Linked DNA regions of Drosophila melanogaster. Changing the gene in region 1 together with any one later gene gives a genetic interaction. Each region holds a gene or a part of one and is shown on either strand. Other genes may lie near its edges.

Region 1 (4,602 bases):
CTTTTTGTTATAGTTTGTTGGGGTGTTTATAAACAATTTTGGACTACGCATATGTAGAGGAAATGCCCTGACTATGCAACAACGTTCGCCTTATCTTTCGTCTTTGTGTAAATTTAGAGCGCAATGCATTGATATTCCCATACGGCGGCCATAAATTACATGACAATTACTTGGGGAGCCGAAGAAAATCAGCGGTGCTTGGAAAATCCCCCCTCGAAAAGGCAAGCAATGCGTGGAAAGAGGCGCGAAGAGAGAGCGGAAAATTGGAAGAGAGCCGACACTTCATCACTCGCTCCGAATTTTCCGATTTTCCGGCGGTGCCTCCCTCACACGCGTAGTTTAAATTGCGTTCGCAGCAATCGTGCCATAAATTTCCCTTCCGAAACTTGTTTATTTTGGTCTTGCATGTCTCCAGTGCCGAAATCTTCCCATCCAACAGTCCATCTTCATCGCTGGTAGTATCTTTGTATCTTTTGTATCTCCCTATCTCTCGTGGAGCGCACAGCTTGTGTATCGATTCAATTATGGGAAAACTTAGAATCAACTCATCATGCAGTCGATTGATTAACAAGTCGCACCTAGTAAAATGGCTCCCACAGTGTTTGAGTTTTCAGCTGAGCTTGGCTTTACTACAAGTGTGACATTTGAAATGTTCTTAAGCCAACTAAAATTATGCATGCAGCAAAAAGCGCAGGAATGTTGGCACTTCAAAAAAGGGCTGCTTAATGTAAAAATTAAGCTAATTTAATGATAAATTAATAGCTTCTTTTTGAAAATCATGTTAAACACTTCTCTGTGTGGTTCCCATGGGATTTCCGCCGTTTTGTCAAGCCACAGATTTGGACTTTTTACTCAAATTGCTCTGTAGAGGACCATATGTCGCTCTTCACAGCCCTTCTGGCATTCCACAATCGGAAGAAAGACTGCAGATTTCTACCAAAACGGGAAGAATTGTGGGTGCGAAGAAGGAGGAGAGATTGGTGAACAGCTGCTGTCCCGACAGCATTGACCTCTTGACGGCCAATTCTCCTACTTTATCTCAATCTGCAGTGTTTAAAGGGTTTATACTTTATGTGATCTTTTTTTTTTTGTTTTTTATCTTCTCCGGCAACAGTTGGTGGTCCACACTTTTGGCGGAAGGTGGCGCTGCTAACAGCAAATCAGAGTGCAATTAAGGCCAAAAGACAGATGGCCAAAAATCGTGGCACATCGGCTGGCAATATCCCCAAATTTGCGTGCACAGAAACAAAAAAGATATGTATAGCGAACACTAAATTGATTCGTATAAATAATTTATAATATTTTTTAATATAATTTATACATTGCATCTGAAAACTTATAGTAAATATATGATATGAAAACATATATCCCATATATATGGGAATTTAAAAAAACATTGGCTGCCAAACATAATCCAAATGAATAACAACATAGAACAGAGGTTGCATCGAGCCGCGCTGTTAGCCCTGTTGCATGCTGTTAGAGCCTGAAACACCACTTGCAACATCATCGAACATGTTGCGTCGCTTTGTTTTGTTTGAAGACAAGCCGCGCCGGCCGAAGAAGTCGGATTTTTGGATCGAGTTCGCACTTCGTTCCGTTCGCTCGTACCGTTCGCTTCGTAGCGGCGGAAACTCCGTACTTTCGATAGCTGGTATCTCACAGATACTTTTCGAGACCCCGAAGACGAGAACTCGCATCGCATATTCGCCCGAGAAAACTCTCAGTAAATCTCAGATAATTAAAACGAAATATATAACTAAACGTCAATTTTTTTTTTGGTGCAAACGCAAGCCAAAAAATTTCATTTTGGTGTGGATTACCAGTGGAAAAGTGTGTGCTTAAAATGGAATAAACAAGGCTATCATAAAAACAAAGCCCGAAAAACCAAACAAGCTGAAAATTGTCAACCCAACAATTATGGATTAGTGCCAGTGGCCGGTCAGAGTCAGTTAAAAATATATATGCATATAAGAGGACTAAGGAGCCGAAATTGTTTAAATTGATTACAAACAAACAGTGTGAGTAAAAAAGTTCATCAGTAAAATCTAAAGAAAACTCCTGTGCTTTTGGCTTTTTTCATGCGCCAACTGCAACAGCTGCTCCCTCACTTTGACCTTTTCGTTTGATTTTGTTTATAATATACTGTTACTGGCCAAGTCTCCGCCTCTTTTGGCCCCTCAAAAGTTTCGCTTTTGGCCACTTTGGCATTTGGATTTCGAGTTTGCTTGAGTGTATTTTTTTTTTTTTCGAAGAAAATATATGTGTTTTTAATTGAAAATGGAAGCATGATTTTTGGTTGTAAGTAGACTTTGTTAAAGCAAAATTTATATTTTCCTTTCTGCCTAATGAAATGCCCAATGGCAAGTACTAGTTGCTGAAAATATTAAAATGTAATAAAATATAAAATAAATTAAATTACCATCTTTCGAATAACGTTTAGATCTTATCAATCTGAAAATGAGGTTTATTATACAAAATCTATGTTAAGTTGTATATCACAGATATACTTTCCCCTCTACAATAATAGATCTTCAACTCCAGACCTTGGACACCTAATTAGCTTCTTCTGACCATTCCATCCCTCTGAGCATCTATAGAAAAAAGTGCTCTTCTTAACTGATTCGATCTCTTCTTTCCTTGGTTTTGCATGATTTATGATTTAAAGCAATAACTTTGAAAAACAAAATGTACAAAGCTAGTCAACGATTAGGCATTTCGTAAGCACTTAAGTTGAAAAATTAATATTAAATGTATAGAATGATTTTTTGTTCGTATACAAGTATGTACACAAACAAAAAATCTACTTGAATATATGCTAAACAATGCTAAAATCATTCTGAATAATTTACGGCAAACGATAAACTTTAATGAGTATAACATTCAACTTCAAGTTTTAATCTACATAATAGGCAATGTATATTAAATGTGCGCTTTGGTGTAATTCTTTAATGCGTATATTTATTTATAACATTCGAATGGTATACCTATTTCAATGGTTTATTTCTGACATTTATGGATTAATTCATTTGGTTTTAAGTAAATAAATTTGCAAATACATTTAATTCCTTTTGTCATTGATTAAGTGAAATGCCAGTAATTCGACTCTCTTATTGACACATTCAAAAATCATAAATCAATTATTCCAAATCCAATAGAAATTTATTTATTACTCATAAAATTTTTCTCTGTGTAACTCCCCCCAGCTGTAAGCGAAGAAAATGTTGCTAGCGGCTGTGGTGTTAAAGAACAGAAATGCGAGCTAAAGAAGCTGAAGGCCCAGAAGCTTTACCAATACATCGATACATTGCACACAGATACTCAAACATCTGCAAATGCATATACAAGCGTATCTTCAGACTCACGCACCTGTCCCTTGTCATTAAAAAAGCAAGCAAAGTTTCAATCTTCTTTGGCAAGCTAACCTTTTACTTACTCTGCTCCATCCTCTGGGTTCATATATGTCGCATGATAAACACCGGAAAAATATTGATTGGCTGGGAGATTTGCTAAAGCACGATTAAGAAAACTAGTCTCAAAAAAAGTTAGTCTTTGACCAGAAAAAGTATTTGTTCTTTTTTTTTTTAATTGAAATTAACTTATTTTCATACTTATTTATCTTGATTGAAGCTCCTATAAATTCATTTTGAATAACGTTATTAAGTTTTTTGGTTTGAAAACAAAAAGAAAAAATATTTTTAAAGTGTATTTGGGAACGTGTGTGTAGCTTTTGGATTTTATAATTTGGCCCAATTTGCTGGCATTGCAAATTGCTAAAAACGTCTGAAACAATCGACAGGAGGAAATTGGGGAGTGTGGGAAAAGGATGGCAAAAGAGGCGTTCGGTAGGCGTGGCAGGAAGTGCAACATGCTCATGTCGCAAGTTGTTGCTGCCGCCTGTATTTCTCCTGCACTTTTTGTTGCTGTGTTATCGATTGGCGAGGCCGCATTTGTTGGATCGTTTTGACGCGTCCTCGTCAGCATGTCGAAACTTATTTTTCCTTTTCAATTTCGCCCTGCGATTTTGCATTTTTTTTGTTTTTTTTTTTTCGCCTGCCTGTCGCTTTGTTAGTTCTTTGCATGCCACAAATTATGTTCGTCACCCCCTTTTGCCCCACCGCGCTGGATGGATTACCTTGAGAGCGGAGCTGTCAGGCTTTTTGACAGTTTCTGCCGTATCGGTTCCACCGATTTGACTGCTGCGCTCATCCGTTTTGCCTGTTTTTTTTTTTTGTTTAAGAAAGTGCTTCGTTTAATGAATAATTGGTATTTTATATCATTTAGGTACAATAAGAAAAGACTTATTGCCTGGTATTTGCATCTGCCAGCTAATTTCTCATCTCATCTCTAAAAAGAAATGCAGACGAGGGCATTCGAAAGGCAAGCAATTTATCCCTTGGTTAATTTGGTTAATTGAAGACAATTGAGGGCCGCTTTGCAGTTCATTAAGCCTCATCAGCGTTGAGAAATGGGGCCCAGAATCCAGAAGTCCAGAAGTCCGAATCCCAGATCCAGTTCCATCTATACTTTCCATTTCCAGATCTGTTGTCTTGTCGCCAGACTAATTAAAATATTTGCACTCAAATGCTTAAGCAATAAATA
Region 2 (5,003 bases), on another chromosome or scaffold:
CCCCAAGCGAAATTTTGAACATCATTAATTTTAATTTTTGCGCAGACGCACCCCAGGGGCGGTAGGCTTCACTGCCTCCATTCTGGACACTGCAGACAAGCCACGAGTGATGACTGATGATGACCTGGCGGAACGAGCCACACTACCTCCATACATACATCCACGAATGTAATTAAGGTGGCCAAATGGAAAAAAAAGGTGCCACAGCGACAATTGAAAGTGTTGCAACGCGAGTTGACAAATTTCGATGTTGCCCAAGAGCAATGCAATGCGGTGATTGATGGCTGAGGTGGTGGTATTCAATGGCGTAAAGAATTTTAATATTAGGAAATCAAGGAATTTCCCTTAAATATATATATTCTATCTGAGGGGTAAAATAACCAACTTTAAGTCCTGTCATAAAGATTTTTATATTTACTGTTTTTAACGTAGAGTTCTAGATTTATAATCTCAAATGAGGTATTCGGATAAAAAACGATTTAGCAACTGTTAACGGTGAACTAAATTATTTGTAAAGCCCGTCTTTATGTTAGTCATATTTTTCAGAGTTGCCAACTGACCGTGTGGCCTAATGGATAAGGCGTCGGACTTCGGATCCGAAGATTGCAGGTTCGAGTCCTGTCACGGTCGTAAAATTAACTTTTTTCTTTTGTATCCAGAATTTTTTTTATTTATTTTATGAAAATGAGATTTGAGGGCATTTGGTTGCATTTATCACACTTTGTAAGTCTGTATCTCACCTTCTTGAAGCGCCTTCGCTGCGATGAGGAGTGCGTCGATGCAGTTTCGAGCAGATTGCTGTTGTTATCCCCCCCATCCCTTTTGCCCAGTGCCTGGAGAAGATCGTCAACGTTGCGTATATAGGGGCGATCTCGATCCCCGCCGCGTTCCCTTTCCTTTTCGCCACCCCCTCCACCGCCGCCCATGCAGCTGGTTATGCTCCGATTGCCCACACTATTGCTACGCGATCGGGATCTGGTCTTTTGCTTGCCCAGCCAGTAAACCTGATTTGCCAAATTTATTTCGGCGGCTGCCGCAGCCTTTCTTCTGCCCAATTGTTGTTGCTCCTGCACCTGTTGATGCTGCTGCTGCTGTTGTTGCTGCTGCTGCTGTTGTTCACTGGCCAGATATTCGCCGGCTATATGAACCTTGGGTGCACTAACCAACTGCAGGCCAGTGGCGCCGAATTGCTGAGGGAATTCGTGCAACTCGAGGGGGAAACGGGGATCCATGGTCTGACCCGGTTGACGCGGGTACATATAGCCATCGCGTAGAAACATCTTGCTGGTGGTATAGACCCTATCCGCGATTTGGTACACTCCACTCGAGCCGGGACCCTCGGCGCCGCCAATAATTCCATTTCGGACATAGGCTGTCGGGCGATAGCGAACGAGTGGGTTATATACATTCGATTTGGGGGGTTTCGTTTTGAAACTGCGACGTCGCGTGCTGGGCTTCATATTTTTGTTGTATTTAATTTTCGTTTTTGTTCGTTTGTATTTGCACCCCGCGATAACAGAATGTTTGCTCTACAGAAAATCCACCCTTGTGCTGTAGGTTGCTTGCACACGTATCAAATGTTTTCGAGTTTAAGCGTGCTTGGAACAAGCGACCGTGTGGCCTAATGGATAAGGCGTCGGACTTCGGATCCGAAGATTGCAGGTTCGAGTCCTGTCACGGTCGAAACCAAAGTATTATTTTTTTTTTGTGAGAAACTTATGTTTTGTTCTTTAAAAAATTCAATTTGTTGCAAACTAAAACCATAAAATAAATCAACAAAAACAACAAAAATTTTAAGGTTCACTTGGCTAATTTTACATAAAATCTACACTGTCTTTAGACTGACGATAGAATGTTTTATGATTACATGTAAAATTAGATCACGCAAAATTATATTTTTTTCCTTTGGAAATATATAAAAAAAAAAAAAATAAAACCAGATTAGTGTTTCAAGGGTGTTGAGTTAATTTAGAGACTTTTTGTTCTTTTTCAAATGTAATTTTCGACCGCGTAAAAGTATGCTATAGATATGGTTGAATTATTTTTCATGGCGTTCTTGTTTAACAGCGCACAAAAGCAGGCAACATTTGTGTTTTTAAAAACGCCTGAGAGAGGCCAATAAAAAAGAGATAAACCCTATAAACTATATTGAAAATAACCGATTTTTTAAGGGTTTTACGCGACCAACACGTTCGGCACACTGCACGTTCGATTTTCCACTGCAATTGTTTGATTTTATTGCAACAACTTTTTCTGCTTTTCTGTTGTTTGCTGGAAGGCACGCACTGCCAATCCAATTAGCCGGGGTTCACCTTTCGAGCCGTCGTCTTTGCGCAAGGTAAATTGTTTTTCGAACCCAAAGTATTGACACAGTTTGCGAGTCACTTGTTTTGTTAGACACATTCGTCTTCCTGAACTGTCAACCGAGCTGTCATATGGATGAGACAGAATGGAGAATAGAGAGAAAGAGAGCCATGCTAATCTGTCAACTCTGAGTTCGTTAATTAAAGACTGATTTGGCAAATAATTGTGGCTTAGCCCTGATCGACCCCAATACCAATTTACAAGCTCAAAACATTGCAAAAACTCAAAGGTACCCCGATTGGGTCAATGAATGTGCGGTCTATTGAACTTTTGATAGTATTATTGACGCCCCTTTTTCACTTAATGATTGCGAATTGAGTTCAGCCGTCGGAAAATACTTTCAAGGTTATCTTACAGGGATCATAAATATAATATCCAAATTTATAGTTAAAAACTAAGTGGAAAAGATGTGGCCAAATATAAATCCCTCTGTCTAAGTGCACATTTTTCTTGTTTAATATATTCAAATTTTCCCTTTCTTTTATCACTTCTGTCACTCCACTTAATTCAATGGCCCTTCTCAGTTTCAATCTGTCAACTTCCTATTATTTCCACCTTATCTGTTTGAGGTTTGTCTTTCTAACACTTCCGCCTACGAAAATCGTTTATTTTTGGTGTGGATTTCTTTTCGTTTCAATCGCGACGAGGCTCAAATACGAACTAAACTGAAATGAATTCAATGAATTTGAAGAGCCTATCGGACACGAGAACATTTTCCAATGGATAGCGTTTCCAGCCGGAGAAGAATACAAGAACAAAAGTGATTGCGATAAAGCTTGGACTGAGCTGAGCAGAGCCCAAGTGAAATGAGACGAAATGAGGGGCTTAAGCCAAACAAATACACCCCTTAAAAGCGTAAATTGTGAAATGGGGCAGATGTTTGGGGGAAAAAACCAAGAATGAAAAGGTTTGAACGATGAACCTCGAGCTATTTTAAAACCACACCCAAATATTTAATACATATCAATCAAGTTCTATGATGTTATGACAAAAAATGGTTTGAGAAACTCTATTTTGTTTTAAGAGGCTCCAAAAGATTTTTATGTTTCTAATTCCATGGAAATACGTATATTTTCTTTGCATAAATCATTGTACTTACAAAGAATTCATCTTCGATGACGGGATCGGCCAGCATCTCAATGGCCTCCGTCATGGATCTGCAGGTGCGATTCGTGTTCTTCTTCTTCTTGAGCTTCCGGCCCAAGGTGGCGGCATCGCTGAAGCGATGAAGCAGTTTGTCCCTCTTCCGGACCGCCAGCGGACTGGTCGTCGAACTGGCGTGACATAACAGCGATCCGTAGCCATTCGTAGAGGATATGGTGCCAGTATTAGCGTAGAAATTCTGCGGTTGATATTGCGCCGGAGCAGTGAGTGTGCTGTTCGAGTCGATTTTCTGTATGAGATTGTACTCGGATTGGGGATATTTGCTGGCCAAATGCGATACAGAATCCGCTTTGGAACCCAATTGCGGCTTGGGTGGCGGCGGTGGCGGTGGATCCTTCATCAAGGCCACCCGACGGGGGGCGGCGCGGGGTATGGTGGCCGAATGGGGGGAGGAGGTGGCGTCACCGCCATAACTAACAGCGCGACGATTGCGATCGTTTTCCTTTTCCCTGAAAGGAAATTTAAATTTAATTTATTAGAATTTTCAATGTATGTTTTACTTGATAATAATAGAACTAAATATGTTTTAAGTACTAAACACAATGTAAATCTACCTATAACGCCTCCTCTGCATCGGTGGACTAAAGAAGAAGTTGGGCGACAGGGGTACAAAGTAACCCCATTGGGGATCTCGATTCGGTCCCTCATGATACATGCCCAACTGGGGCGTCATCTCCCTGGATCGACTGGATCTGAGAATGGGCATGGAAACCCTCTGTGGTCCGAAACTTCTATTAGAGCGATACCGATTCCTATACATATGACGCTCCAGTGAAGATGTGGTGGTCGTAGCATCCGATTCCAGGGTGCAATCCGAATGATCCTTGTTCTCCAGGGTCACATTACTGCCCAGCTCATCGTCATTATCATCATCATCATCCGTGGAACACTCGGGCACCGTATAGCAGGCATAGTCGAATTGCGACATTGTAGAATCGTTTTTCTTATGTCTTTATTTGTTTGGCTTTTCGTTTGCACACACATTTAGTTCTTTGTCATTGTGTCTTTGCGACTCCCACGTAAAATGTTTCAATTATTTAATTAGTCTGCAACTTGTTGCTGTTTTTTATTTGAGTGCTTTACTTTTATTTTTACCTGACAAATGTTAAATGACATTTTCAGTTGGTCTGGCACTTAATTGCTCCACTAGAGTTTGGTCATGTCTTGGATATTTTCTGGTGGCAAAAGAACATTATTTAAGGCATTTATCATGTTCACCCTCTGGACAATTGTGCTTCCCGCCAGAAAAAAATTTCAGGGGTTGTGTATGTCCAGTGGGCACAATTAAAAGTCGTTTTCGGCCTCTGTTGAAAAGTTCGCCTAATGAGGTGTTGAACGGAAGACGTTCTAGTTATGATACTTAACTTGGCCACGACTTTTTACAGACAATTTACTACGGTCCGAAACACAAAAGAAATCAGTGGGAAAGCTAAAAGGGCATTTAACCGAAAGTATTTCATAATTGTTAAGTAAAA
Region 3 (7,871 bases), about 15 Mb from region 1:
GTAACTCCAGTAATAGTAATCTCTCTATTGCAGTTGTGGTCGCTGTGGACACCTGAACGATTTGACGACGAACAATTAATCTCATTGTAGACTTAATACATTTGCAATTCATTTAAATTAACTACAATTATGCTTGCAATGTGAATACATAAAGACAAATAATCAATGAACAATTTAAGACTAAACAAATTCCAATTTAAGGTCTCTTTGCGAATCGATGTAACTTTAAGCTGGTCAAGTTGCAGTTGACGAATTTATAGTTTTTCGATTCCAGCGTAGGCGTGTGAACAGTTGCATATATATTTATATATAGATTGGCGTCTCTTGACCGGTGAGCAAACGAAACATGGACGTGGGCATTGTCTTCATCAGGATCTGATTGGAAAGGTATTGTTAATATAAGAATAACGAATTTAAAAACGCGTCATACCTCGCCCACTGAGGATGACAACAGCTTGACAATGGTATCGTGTGGCACGGCCACAACGCTCTGGTTGTTAATCTCAATGATGCGGTGGCCTACGCGTACTCCACCCCGCTCAGCGATTCCTCCACGCAAAAGACTGCAGATCTGCATTAAATAAATACATATGATTAGAAGGATTAGAATAAGAAGAATAAATTCAGCATTTTATAATTACCACGCCATTTTGAACACTAAAACCCAACTGGAACAGCGCCTTGGGACGCAGGATCTTAACCTCGACGACAGGCGGACAGGGCACAACGGTGAACTTGACGGCAGTTTGGTTCTTGGCATTGCGTATGTAGCTCTGGCAGGTGGACAGCGGCAGTCCCACCAGGCTCATGCCGTTAATGGCGATCAGCTGGTCACCGATGTTCAGCTGGCCGCAGCGGGCAGCTGCTCCTGAACTCATCAGGTTGGCAATCACCACGGTGGGCAGCATGGATCCCCAGCCACTCTCTACGATCACCACGCCTAGGATCTCGCCTTTCGCCTTCGGCACAACTACCTCCTTTTGCAGCTCCTTTTTGGCAAAGATCTCCAGCTCATCACCGAAAATCTCCTGACTGTTGAGCACCTCCTGGTAGTCCATCTCTTTGGCCAGACTCTCGTTTTCGATGCCGTTCGCCTTCAGGAACTCCATGTAGGCCACCTGGTTAGGTTTTGATTGTTAATTATACGTGCCAATAATATTATTAATATTCGCGTACCTGGAAGGCCTGTCCAATGGACTGAGCTATGAACTGCGCCTCATCGCTTTCGAACACGTGGCAGATCATTTTGGGCGTGCGATTGTGCTTGCTGAGTGGCTCTTTGGGGGGCGACTCCTCCTCGCCTATGCCCGGAGTGGGAACATCACCTAATGGACTGGTGATCGATGGATCCACAACACTATTCGGTACGAATCGACGACGAGCCATCAGCACAACCAGATCGCCAATGTCAGCTATATAGGATATAGTACGCAGCGCATGGTCCATCATGATCTCCTTGAGATCCGTGTTAAGCACCATTATCTTTTCGGTTGATATGAACAGGTCCACTTCAGTGCTCGGCTGACTTTCGCCCTCGGGAGCCTGGTAAAAAAATAGCAAATCATATATTATATAATGCATTTAATTCTTAATGCTATCATTTGACGACTGAAAGGGGCTAACGAACGCTTACCAAAGCCTATCGAGAGGAATGCGCAGCAGGGAACGAGAAAAGCGAACGAGAAAGTTTTTAGACACACACATAGAGCATAACCTAGCGGGGTTTCCTTGAATGGATGTGCTTTCGTGTGCATCACCAGGTTTTCACTTCACTTACCTTGATCCTGGAAACGGCCTCCTCGGCCTGCATCATTCTGGTCGACTTGGTCGGCTGACCCTCGCAGACAAGTTGAGTGGATCCAAGGTATCTGGCCCGAAACAACACGCCCTCAATGAGAACTTTGGGTTCCAAGAGACCTAAGAACGAACATTATTTAAATTAGTTACGAAGTGCGTTAATGGTCTTCATTTCTGATTGTTAATACACATAAGGGTAGTTTAATAAACCTAAACATCTGCTGGGTAACAGAGACTTACGTGATGTCAGCATTAAATAGATTTGAATTGCAGCGTGAAATGTTGAATCGGTTTCCATATCAGTAAACGAACAACAAGGGGCGTTGACAACTGTGCTAACTTACCCTCTTTGTTCCGCGATTTGGCCTTCTTGTCCGAGTTGGCAGAGTCCTTCAGGGATTTAATAGAGCCCGTGGGACTTTTGGTGAACTGCAGTTTTTCCGGCGAGCTTATGGAGATGTCGGTCGTGCCCACAATCTGACAGATGTCCGGCGAATTGGGTGTCAACGAGGTGCCGATGCCTTGTCGAATGGTGGCCGTCGAGTAGGTTTGCGGCTTGCTATTATTCATAGGATTCGGATTGTTGTTGTCCGACGTGCCATTTAGATGCCCATTGCTGGCAATATCCGTGCCCTCATTGGCATTGTTATCAGCCAGGCTCTGTAAAATTATTATTTCGTAATTATTTTGAGCTGATATCTCTGTAAGTTTGCATTCCTCACCTGATCGGCGAAGAAATCCTGCTCATCGTGCCTCTGCTGACCCAATAGACGATCTGTTTCAAGGTCGGTGTCTGGTTCCTCATCCGCCGCCGCACCTTGGGCCGTCGAGATCGTCGTCCCTTTGCGTGGAACCCAAACCGGTGAATCTGGATCCGTGGGCAGCACTTCGTCACAGAATTTTAGTTTTTCAGGCTGCGTTTTAGCACGCTGCAAGGCGGAACGTATCTCCTTCATGGCCTCCTGGATTTCCGAAGCAGCCTGCGATGGCAAAGATCCTCCCGCAGTTACTGGTGTCACCCCCAGTCCTGATCCCGCTGACTTCTCTGTGTGAGTACCTCCCAAAGCTGCTGCATAAACCGCACCGTAGTGACTGTCCAGTGGATTATCAGCATCTGGGACCATGGTCATGGATTCACTTGCATCGGCGATCTCGATTTGGGGCGGCGATGATGGAGGCGGAGCCGGGGGCATGGGCAGTGAGGCGAAGTCGCTTATCAGCGCCGATTGCGAGGCATCTGTGGTCAATGTGGCCAAGCTGGCGCTCATCACATTGTAGTCGTTCTCCAGCCGCTCGCCATTACCGTTGTGCTCGTGGACGGGCTGAGATTGGGACGATTGCTGCTTGTCACACACCACGGATACGTTGTTCTCCGTGTCGGAGGCGTGGCCACTGCTCAGGCCATCTTCTAGGACAGGCATGCTCGTATACAGTTTACCAAAATCCGTGGGGCAGTTAATGTCGTTAGACAGACTGTCCAAATCACCGCAATTCGAATCGTAATCCGTCGTCTCGGGAGACAGGGTAAAGTTTCGGGAGTGTCGGCGCAGATTTGCCTCCAGTTCGGTGTCCGCCAAATCGCCGCTGCTTCGGCTATTCGAATCAATGTACAGCTCAATATCATTATGCTCCTGGTAGGCCGTCGATGGATTCTGGTCACTGGGCTAGAAATCGAACAATCGTTAGCTATTTTAATGAATTTCATTTCGTTATGACTCACTGGCTTTTTAGTAGGCGACCGGTGAACCATGTAGAGCTCATCTTTAGGTATTCTCGCCAACCGCTGTCCTATATATGCCTGCTCCATGGGCGTGGCTGGGTACTCTTGTGGCTGCTAGTCAATCAAAATGCAATATTAAATGGGTTTCTAGGCTTCTTGGAAGTAGTAGTACTCACCGAGCTAGCGACATCGTCTCCACTTTCCGTGGTGTAATCCGTGTACCGCTTTTCGTCCTCCGGATTCGCCTTGAAGAACTCCTCCAGCACCTTTCTGGTCTCTGAGAATTCGTACAGGTAGTCGAAAGTAGGTGTTTTCTCGCGAAGCGTCCCGGAACGCTCTTCCTCGTGGTCGACCAAATCGATAAGGTTGCCCACGGATGCTTTAGCTGCAGCAGTTGCATTATTAGCGACACTGGTGGTGGGCGAAACTCTTTGCGGGAAACCCGGCGGACGTTTTCTAGGACCACCCATGGTAATGGTATTTGTATTCGGTTGACTTCCAAATCGTCGCGGTGAACCCTCGTACTCGGCTATTGGCAGCTGTCCAATCATTTTGGTCACCTTGAGGACATCCTCATTGCTGCCTGGACGCTGGCCACTCGATGCCTTGTTCATCCAGTTTGTGTCAATGTCGTCGAACACCACGATCTCACCATCACGCAGGCACTGACCGTCCGCCTTGCCCACATCCGTTGGTGAGCCGGGGCTGGCCAATCCCTTAAAGAAAAAGCAGAAAAATCTCATTGTAGTGACTGAAACTACGCCTCTAAGTAATTCTCCAAGTTAAATTACCTGTGGCAGGACATCCCGTGTCTCAAACTGGCTGCCCGGACTCCTACCCAGTCGGATTTGATGCAACTGCGGTCGCTGGTAGTAATAGCTGCCAGAATCGCGTCCCGCATTCGAACCATAGCTGCCGGATCCCTGAACACCTCCGCCCGATGGCGAAAGACCCTGCAGCGGAACGTAGGACAGCTCGCCATTGAGATCCGGCGAATTGAGCACCGTGCTGGCTGGCGTCACATTTGGGCTACGGGTTCGCATCTCCCACACATAACGTTCCTGCTGCTGCTGCTGCTGCTGGTGCTGATGCGATTGCTGCTGCTGCGCCTGCTGGCCAAAGTTCATCTGTATGTGCGGTGGATTGACCATGGACTCGTTACTGCTGTCACTGCAGGAGTTTGAGTTCATGGCTGCACCAACAACTTTGATTCTCCAGGTATGAGGGACTGCGGCTTCGATACTACTACAACTACTGCTCTAGTGCTGCTGCTGCTGCATCCGCTGCTGCTGCTGCGATTGCTGCCTCACTGTGGGCCACTGCCTGGGGGAGAATGGATGATTAGTCGATGATCTAAGGCGGCAATGATTCACTGCGCTGCAGCTCAGCCCAGAAAAAAATCAGGGACAGGTGGTCGTGTCGATGACGTACTTTTGCTGGATACCTTGCCGCTGCGTACTATATATTTAAATCGACATAGAAATACCTGGATTACCGGGTGTGTTTAGACATACGCGATACGGACAACAGGAACCAGCACAGTAAAATGCCAATCTATAAAATTGCTGATTTGTTATTTTTGGACCTAAGCCTATTGCTTTAAATTGGGTTTGCCCCAATCATTCCCTAATCATTCTCATGTGTATTTGTATCTTATTACAGGTCCTAGCTCACCTCGTTAAATGTAATTGAGTTTAGCTAATAATAAGTATTCCATTGTTTCGAGCTTCGGTTTGTTGCTGCACTGGTTTGGTAACCTCTGGTTGTGGTGACCCCCTGGCTGGCCAGCGCAATCAATGCGGGCAATTAACCCACTATTGCCTGTCCATGTGTCTATATGTGGACACCTTTTTTAGGGCCCCCCGCCGCGGTTGCCACTGACCGAGCTTGCGAGTTTCCGAGTTCCGGAGCTACCGTGTCCGTGGTTGATTGCGCACACGTAAACTTGGCCTCCAAAAGTCCTCGCGCAGGCAAAACAAACGCAGGAAGCTGCAGCCAGACACAACAACCACCCACGCGAAGGTTGAAGGATGTGTGGTGGGTGGTGCAAGTGGGTGGTGCCAGGGGGCGATGGTGGTGCTGGTGCTAGCCCTTTGTTGTCGCCGATTGTTGCAATCACTCAGCACTTTGGAGGCGTGGGAAAAAAACAAACTCCCCGTTACCGTTATGTGTATCTATCCATGTGCGTATTGTTAAAAATCAATAGATTTGTCGTATTTTTTTTGCAGCTCCTTTGCTTTTCGTTTCGTTATTTTTTGGTGGGGGCACCGCACAACACAACACACTCATGCACACACTCGTCGCATAACGACGCACACACGCAGCGCACTCGAGCAACAACAACTGAAACGGCGGCAACAACAACACGGCCAGCAAATAGGCACGAAAACAACACCTGTCGCGGTTTTATATTTACCATTTAATTCATATTTATTGCACTACTCCTTCAGCAACTCGATTGGCGCAGAGCGATTGGCAGCAATATAGATAGTCTCTGCTAGAACATCGATGGCCTATCGATTGCTATCGACAGCGAACAGCCGGACAGTGTTGAGCAGCGTTAGAGGGTACTATTCAATTCGTACCTAAGTAGGTGCTAAAAGCCATTTTAAACATATTTAAATATGTTTCCTTCTCCACCCCAGCTTTACTTGACTTTACCCTTTCTCCTGTACCTTGCCCTAATTACGCGGTACCGTCTACTTTTCCAACACTCCTTGTACGATGAATTTCCCGCGCCAATTGATAACACTTTTTCGAATAATATCAGTTTAGCATTTAATGATTAATGTACTCCATCTGGGTTTTGTTTTTCGTTTAATATTTGCAACATTCGAACGGATAGTACAAGTACAAGTGGTGTATAAAAGTTCGATGAGCAAAATTGACAAGGATTGTGTGGCAGTAAACAGTTTTTCTTGTTCTTCGTTAGCTTATAATTCGTTTTATATATTTGTGTATATTGAAACAATTTCTTGCAGTCTTGCCAGAATTTCAGTGATAATAATTCGTTCGTTCAAGATTTATCAAGCAATTAAAATTTTAACAGCAAGTTTTGTTTTTCCATCGAAAACTTAATGAATTAAGTTAGGAATTAGACACGGATTATTTTCCCAAAAATTCTAGCAACACCGGTGTGTGGTTGTGTGATGTTTTCTTTTAATTGTTGTTTGCTTGCTTCGCTTTTAATACATTAATTACAGTGTAAAGTTGCTCTATAGGCTAAACTGGAAGGAATGATTGCATTTAATTGTTGGACACAAAGTTGGAAACTTAATAAATAGTGTTTTCTAAAATTAGACTTGGGTTGGGAAGGGCGATAAAATAGTCAACAATATAAATAAGGTTTAATAATTAACTAACAGATACGAGTACAATGGGTTGGTTTACAAAAATCGGGTTAGTGGGGAAGTTGTTAGGGAAAGGCTTTAACTAACAGTCAAGGCCAACAAAAACATTGCGCACTTAGGATCTACACGTACACTAAACATAATTTTGGTAGTTTTGGGCTTAAACTAGTTGCTCGTTTGGTTGCCTAACATTAGTAAATACATACACGCGCTTAAAAACTACGCTACTTAATGATTATGATGTCTGGTTGTCAAATCAGGAATGGAATTTTAACAGCGAAACGAAACAGAATCGTAATCGAAATCGAACCAAAGACGTACAATAAATGATAGAGGGGATTGGACTTCCAACGGGGAAGGCCGGAGATTAAAGCTTTGTATGTTTGACCGTATCCGTCCAGTAGTTCTGTATTGTCATCGCCTCCAGCGAATTGAGAAACGAGTCGTTGTCCAGGCTGTACATCTCATCCGAATTGTCCTGCAAAATCAAGAGAGAGAACTATTTAGTGCATAGGACATTCAAGCGCCACTGGCAATTGGTCAACGAATCCTTACACTCACCCGCATCGTGCTATCATCGATATAGACACTCGAGTCTGGTTCGCTGAGCGCCTGCGGTTTGTTCAGATACCGACGACGGTACAGTACGATCCCAATGGTGCCCACTGTGCAGCAGACGCCGAAGACAGTGAAGCAAATCGCCGAAATGGCACCCGCATCCAGGAAGTACGTTCGCTGGAAATGGAAAAAAAAGCATGTTACTTTTGAAACCAATTTTTCAAATGATATCGAATTTAGCAATGATTAGTTTTCACCTACCTGAATGGCCAGTGCCTCGGATGAGATATTGCCCTCGTCGCCGACGCCTCCGTCGTAGAACCCGGATCCGGCCACGCCCCCCGCCACGCTGGGCGCCGCGGAGGCGGATCTGGTCAGAAGACTCTTGGTGTCGCCGGAGAAGTTGATGTAGCGATTGATGTGCTTATACTCCGCGGATAGAACCT
Region 4 (4,849 bases), on another chromosome or scaffold:
ATTACATACTTTTCAATGAATCTAGTATAACATCTTACTCTACGAGTAACGGGTATAACTACAACTACAACATAGTATATATTCGTGAAATATATATGTGTAATGGTTATGGCATGTCGGTTAAATCGCCAAAAAAGTAAAAAATTGCAAAAATACATATATCTATAAGCAAATTTGGTTATTAACAAAACCACGGTCGAGGGCTTTTCTTGGCCCATTAAAATATGAAAATAGAATATGAATATTAAGGAGCAAATCTAACCTTGTATTGCTTTTCTTTGTACTCTTGCCATGGTTCGGGATTTGATGTGCGATTCCAAGTGACATCGGGATTACGAGTAGCAAGTCGAGCCATATAGTAGACGGCTCCAATAGCTCCCGCTCCAACGCACACATAAAGTGGAATTAACTGAACAAATTTTTGTTATGCAATCAACAGATAACTTAATATAATCATAAAACTTACAGCTGGATTTTTTTTAAGACTTTGCAGACCAAGACCTTGCATTTTGTCTACGTTATAATTAAAATGTATTTAATATGTAAGAAAGAAACACATTTATAAAAAATTACCTAACTTTACTCAATCCAATAAAACAGAATGGAACTATATATTAGATATGGACATATTTCGATGCCAACAGCGATGTCATCGATGTTTTCCAAACATCGGCAACTCGATGTTGACTCAAACATAAAAATATATGTATTCATAACAGGCAGATGTCATATTATTTTATATGTGACATGCCAGTATTAAGCGATGCTGGTATAGAATGGGAACTCAAAAATCATGCACATAAATATTTTTTTTTACATCTAAGGAATATATTATTTTATATACGTAATTTTTATGCATGCTTGTCGCACAGGTTTTATGTTAGGCTGTCATAATAATTTCAAGCCGCCGGGAACGATATAATCTTCTGAAGTAGTCATGCATTTTTGTTACATTTTGTTTATATGTCGAAAGGATTTTTTTTCAATAATAACAAGAAAAAATGCTATGTAGACTTTCCCGACTATTAAATATCCGTTACTCAGCTAGAGGCAATATGATCGCGAAATATCATAATTTTTCTGGGACACGGATAGAAATTGGTGAATGCAATGAGAAAATATTTAAAATTGTTCAAAAATGTGGGCGTGGTCGTTTTTTGGTCGGTTTGTATCGTTAGAGTGGGCGTGGCAAAAAGTTTTATGACAAATCAATAGAAATTTACAAAACTAATAAATATATGAAAATATATATCAACACAATTTTCAAAAGTGTGGGCGTGGCAGCGTTAGGCGTTAGGTTAATATCATATGGTTAATCTAAGCTTTATAGCTTATATTGTTCCTGAGATCTCGACGTTCATACGGACGGACAGACGGACACGACCAGATCGTGTCGACTACTGATCCCGATCAATTGTTCCAATGCTTCCATCAGCCTATTAGGAACTTTTAAACGATTCTGGTATACCCTATTACTCTACAAGTAACCGGTATAATAATAAACATAGAAAACAACAATCCTGATATGTGTGGAATATGTTAATTCATTAAATGAAATATTTTTGTTGGTAAAAATTAAAAATATTATTAAACTTTTCTCAATCGTCTTCAATACTTGAATATCACATATTTTTCACGAGAGTTCAATCATCAAAAATCAATTTTAATTATTTTCTTAAAGTCATTACTAAAGAATGACTCACAGGACTCAAAACTACAAAACTATTTAACTTATTCATTATATATTGGTTACGTTACGTAGGTCATGTGGCTCAGTGGGACTATGATATATTTAAAGCCCGCATTCTTTACAGCACTGCAAAGTTACAATCCTGGTACTATTAATAATCAGTGGACTACATATTATCGAAAAAGGCGTCGTCGGTTAAAGAATTTATGTTAAAACCTGATAAAATGGGCACGTTAACCGATTTCGGACAGATAGCTTTGAAATGGGATCCCAAAAATTTGGAAATTCGCACAATGTCAGTTGAAAAAACACTTGAACCCCTTGTATTACAAGTAACTACTCTTGTAAATACCAAGGGCCCAAGCAAAAAGAAAAAAGGTAAAATGTTTATAGCTTATAGTGCCTAGAAAACCTAAATATTAGAACTTTCAATTTTAAAGAAACTTTTTGCGAGTCGTGAATAACTGTGCGTATACTCATTTTAATTTTATTAATTATAAGTATTGTGTACATACGAGAAATGATAGAAAATGTTCTAAAACGGCTGTGTATACTATACATACATATTGTGACATCTTAAATTTTGTAGGATAGAAAGCATTTGAATTCATGTAACAAGCTTAAAACTGAAAAGGAATGTGAAAGCATCTTTTACCTCTTTAAACGCAAAATTGCGAAAATATAAAAAAATAGCCTATTAGTGATTTACATATATTTTGATTGTGTTTCATTTTGTTATATGTATATCTTTCCAATTTCTATCGATATGCAATAAAAATGTTCAAATTTATAGTTCGCTTGGCCACTAGCTGAGTAACAGGTATCTGATAGTCAAGGAAATTTACTATGGGGTTCGCTGTAATATATATTTGTTACTCGTAAAGTAAAATGGGGTACTAGATTCGTTGAAAACTAAGTATGAGGTAGAAGAAAGCGGTTCCAAAAAAAAAATATATATTCTAGATCAGGATCAATAGCCGAGTTGATCTGGCCATGTCCGACTTTCTGTCCGTATGACAAAGCGTTTTCATATGAATTCATATTTTCATTAGTCTTTTAAATTTCTATCGATTTACCTTTTTTTTTTATTAGAGTTTATCATTTATTATTAGTCATACGTCAATAGGAATCGTTCAGTTCCTTCTGAACTTAACCTAATGTGTAGCTTAAGAGATATGGATTCCGTTCCTTAATTAAAGTGTATACAAATGTACCGTGGAGAGAATCGATTTATCAAAAAACGTTTTGCAACGCCCACTCTAACGCCCAAAAATTGGTTTTCACACAAAAATGTTTTGGTATTTTTCATACTATTTTATTGATCTTGTAAATCTATTGATATGCCAAAATACCTATTGTCAGGCCCACAAACCGCCCAAACTTTTTGAAAAATATATTTCTTGTTTAAATATAATTATTTCTTTTTCAATTTTTACCGATTTTCCAAAAAAATTGAAATCTTTCACACTTCTAGTTGAGTAACGGGGTATCTGATAGTCGGGGACTCGGTTATAGCATCCATTCCAGTTTTTGTTTTAAGTCATGTCAATTCTTTTTGCAAAACCATTTTGGTCAGGAGAACTATATACAGAACTATCACAGGATGTAAACAGCTGTCAGGCCCTTAAAATACAATAAATTGTTACTTCATATTATTTAATTACTGTTTTTATACCCGTTACTCGTAGAGTAAAAGGCAGAAGGAAGCGTTCCCGACCATTAAAAGTAAATATTTTTTGGGCTGGCTCCAGCTCTCTTGAATTTTTGTTCAAGAGCCAGATTTCGGAGAGCTCTTCAGCCAGCAACTTCATTTTACGCATACAGTGACAGCCGAAAACTTTTTGTGTGTACACGAATACTCATGCATTGTAAATTTGACAAAATATGCCCTACACTTCAGAAGTTTTTGGAATTTAAATCTATATTATTTTTGGTCAATTGGCATTATTTTAAAAATAATTTTTTCCTATTCGTATTATTTTTATGAAATATATTTTTTTAAATGTATTAAACTGTATGTGTTAAACTACAAAAGTAATAATAACTATTCCATATCGCAACTTTTTTTCATTTATAAGTTTAAATATTGATGAACCTAATATTAATGCTGTAAAAAAAAACTTCTCCCAGTCCCCTGTTGAAAACTCCAAACATGTTAATTCGTTTCTTAGATCAAAATTGATTTCGGCCCGAAAATCGTCTTCTAGCACAAGTACGCACACATATACACTTTCACGTTTAAACGTTACTCACACAAGCAACCAAAGTCTATTATTTTACGCTCTCAATATTATTCGAGAGAAAAGAGCACAATCTTGGCCGTCACCAAACAAGTAGCTGCTTAGTGAAAAACCAATGTATGGCCCTTACGCATCTTGTTATTCTAGTGTCTTTGATCTGACCCTGTCCGCCCTTCTGTCTGTCCGTTCGTATGAACCTCGAGTTCTCAGGAACTATAAAAGGTTGAGATTAAGACATTTACGCAGCTCAAGTTTGTTGACCCATGTTGGCACACCTATTCTACCGCCCAGAGCTGCTACGCCTGACCTTTGGAAAAATGTGAAGTTTTTTCATATTTTTATTAGTCGTGGAAATTTCTATAGACTTGCCAAAACTGTATGGTAAAAGAGTATACCAGATTCGTTAAATTCCGACTATATAAAGTATATATATTCTTGATCAGGATCAATAGCCGAGTCGATCTAGCCATGTCCGTATGAACGTCGACACATTAGCTAGAAGGTAAAGCCGCCCTAAAACCGCCCAAAACTGACACGCCTACATTTTTGAACCATTTTTCTATGTGCCTAAAATTTTTTGCCACGCCCACTCTTACGCCCTAATTTTTTATAATTTTTTTAGTCTTGTAAATTTTTATCGATTGACCAAACACTTTTTTTCGCAAGTGCGAGAGTACAAGATAGATAGAGGGCGAGAGAGAGTAGCTTAGACAACGAAAGATAATCGCCTATCTGAGATGCCGTAGAGCTTAATGTTGTGTCTCCAAAGTTGGCATGTTTACAAATAAGAAATTTAGGCATTGCTGGCTGATGCAAGACCCGAAAATCGATTTTATTAATGTGATCATTTGATCATTACTTAATGCCGTTTTGTTTTCTTATAAAAATCTATTTTCGCTAGCCCCATTGCAAACGATTT

The links.
Region 2: of rst (region 1) and pyd, changing one enhances a phenotype caused by changing the other (phenotypic enhancement), as found in Drosophila melanogaster (one study listed by BioGRID).
Region 3: of rst (region 1) and X11L, changing one enhances a phenotype caused by changing the other (phenotypic enhancement), as found in Drosophila melanogaster (one study listed by BioGRID).
Region 4: of rst (region 1) and alpha-Cat, changing one enhances a phenotype caused by changing the other (phenotypic enhancement), as found in Drosophila melanogaster (one study listed by BioGRID).

The regions. Positions count from the first base shown.
Region 1 is NC_004354.4:2,970,820-2,975,421, reverse strand, and holds the start of rst (roughest), read left to right. Parts: upstream 1-1,587; 5' UTR 1,588-2,021; intron 2,022-4,602. UniProt on the Drosophila melanogaster protein: Required for correct axonal pathway formation in the optic lobe and for programmed cell death in the developing retina.
Region 2 is NT_033777.3:8,861,323-8,866,325, forward strand, and holds the start of pyd (polychaetoid), read right to left. Parts: upstream 3,027-5,003; 5' UTR 2,920-3,026; intron 2,212-2,919; exon of another isoform or gene 2,180-2,211; intron 1,684-2,179; exon of another isoform or gene 1,672-1,683; 5' UTR 1,461-1,671; coding exon 741-1,460; intron 631-740; exon of another isoform or gene 558-630; intron 1-557.
Region 3 is NC_004354.4:17,597,742-17,605,612, reverse strand, and holds the start of X11L (X11L), read right to left. Parts: upstream 6,006-7,871; 5' UTR 5,934-6,005; intron 5,623-5,933; exon of another isoform or gene 5,192-5,622; intron 4,841-5,191; 5' UTR 4,708-4,840; coding exon 4,309-4,707; intron 4,234-4,308; coding exon 3,694-4,233; intron 3,632-3,693; coding exon 3,518-3,631; intron 3,462-3,517; coding exon 2,520-3,461; intron 2,458-2,519; coding exon 2,142-2,457; intron 1,918-2,141; coding exon 1,778-1,917; intron 1,640-1,777; coding exon 1,634-1,639; intron 1,543-1,633; coding exon 1,177-1,542; intron 1,119-1,176; coding exon 642-1,118; intron 572-641; coding exon 431-571; intron 376-430; coding exon 304-375; 3' UTR 1-303. Other genes in the region: CG12991 (uncharacterized protein), read right to left, coding at 7,235-7,366, 7,429-7,602, 7,687-7,871.
Region 4 is NT_037436.4:23,335,094-23,339,942, reverse strand, and holds the start of alpha-Cat (alpha catenin), read left to right. Parts: upstream 1-1,842; 5' UTR 1,843-1,896; coding exon 1,897-2,068; intron 2,069-4,849. Other genes in the region: ND-MLRQ (NADH dehydrogenase (ubiquinone) MLRQ subunit), read right to left, coding at 263-409, 467-508. UniProt on the Drosophila melanogaster protein: Associates with the cytoplasmic domain of a variety of cadherins. The association of catenins to cadherins produces a complex which is linked to the actin filament network, and which seems to be of primary importance for cadherins cell-adhesion properties.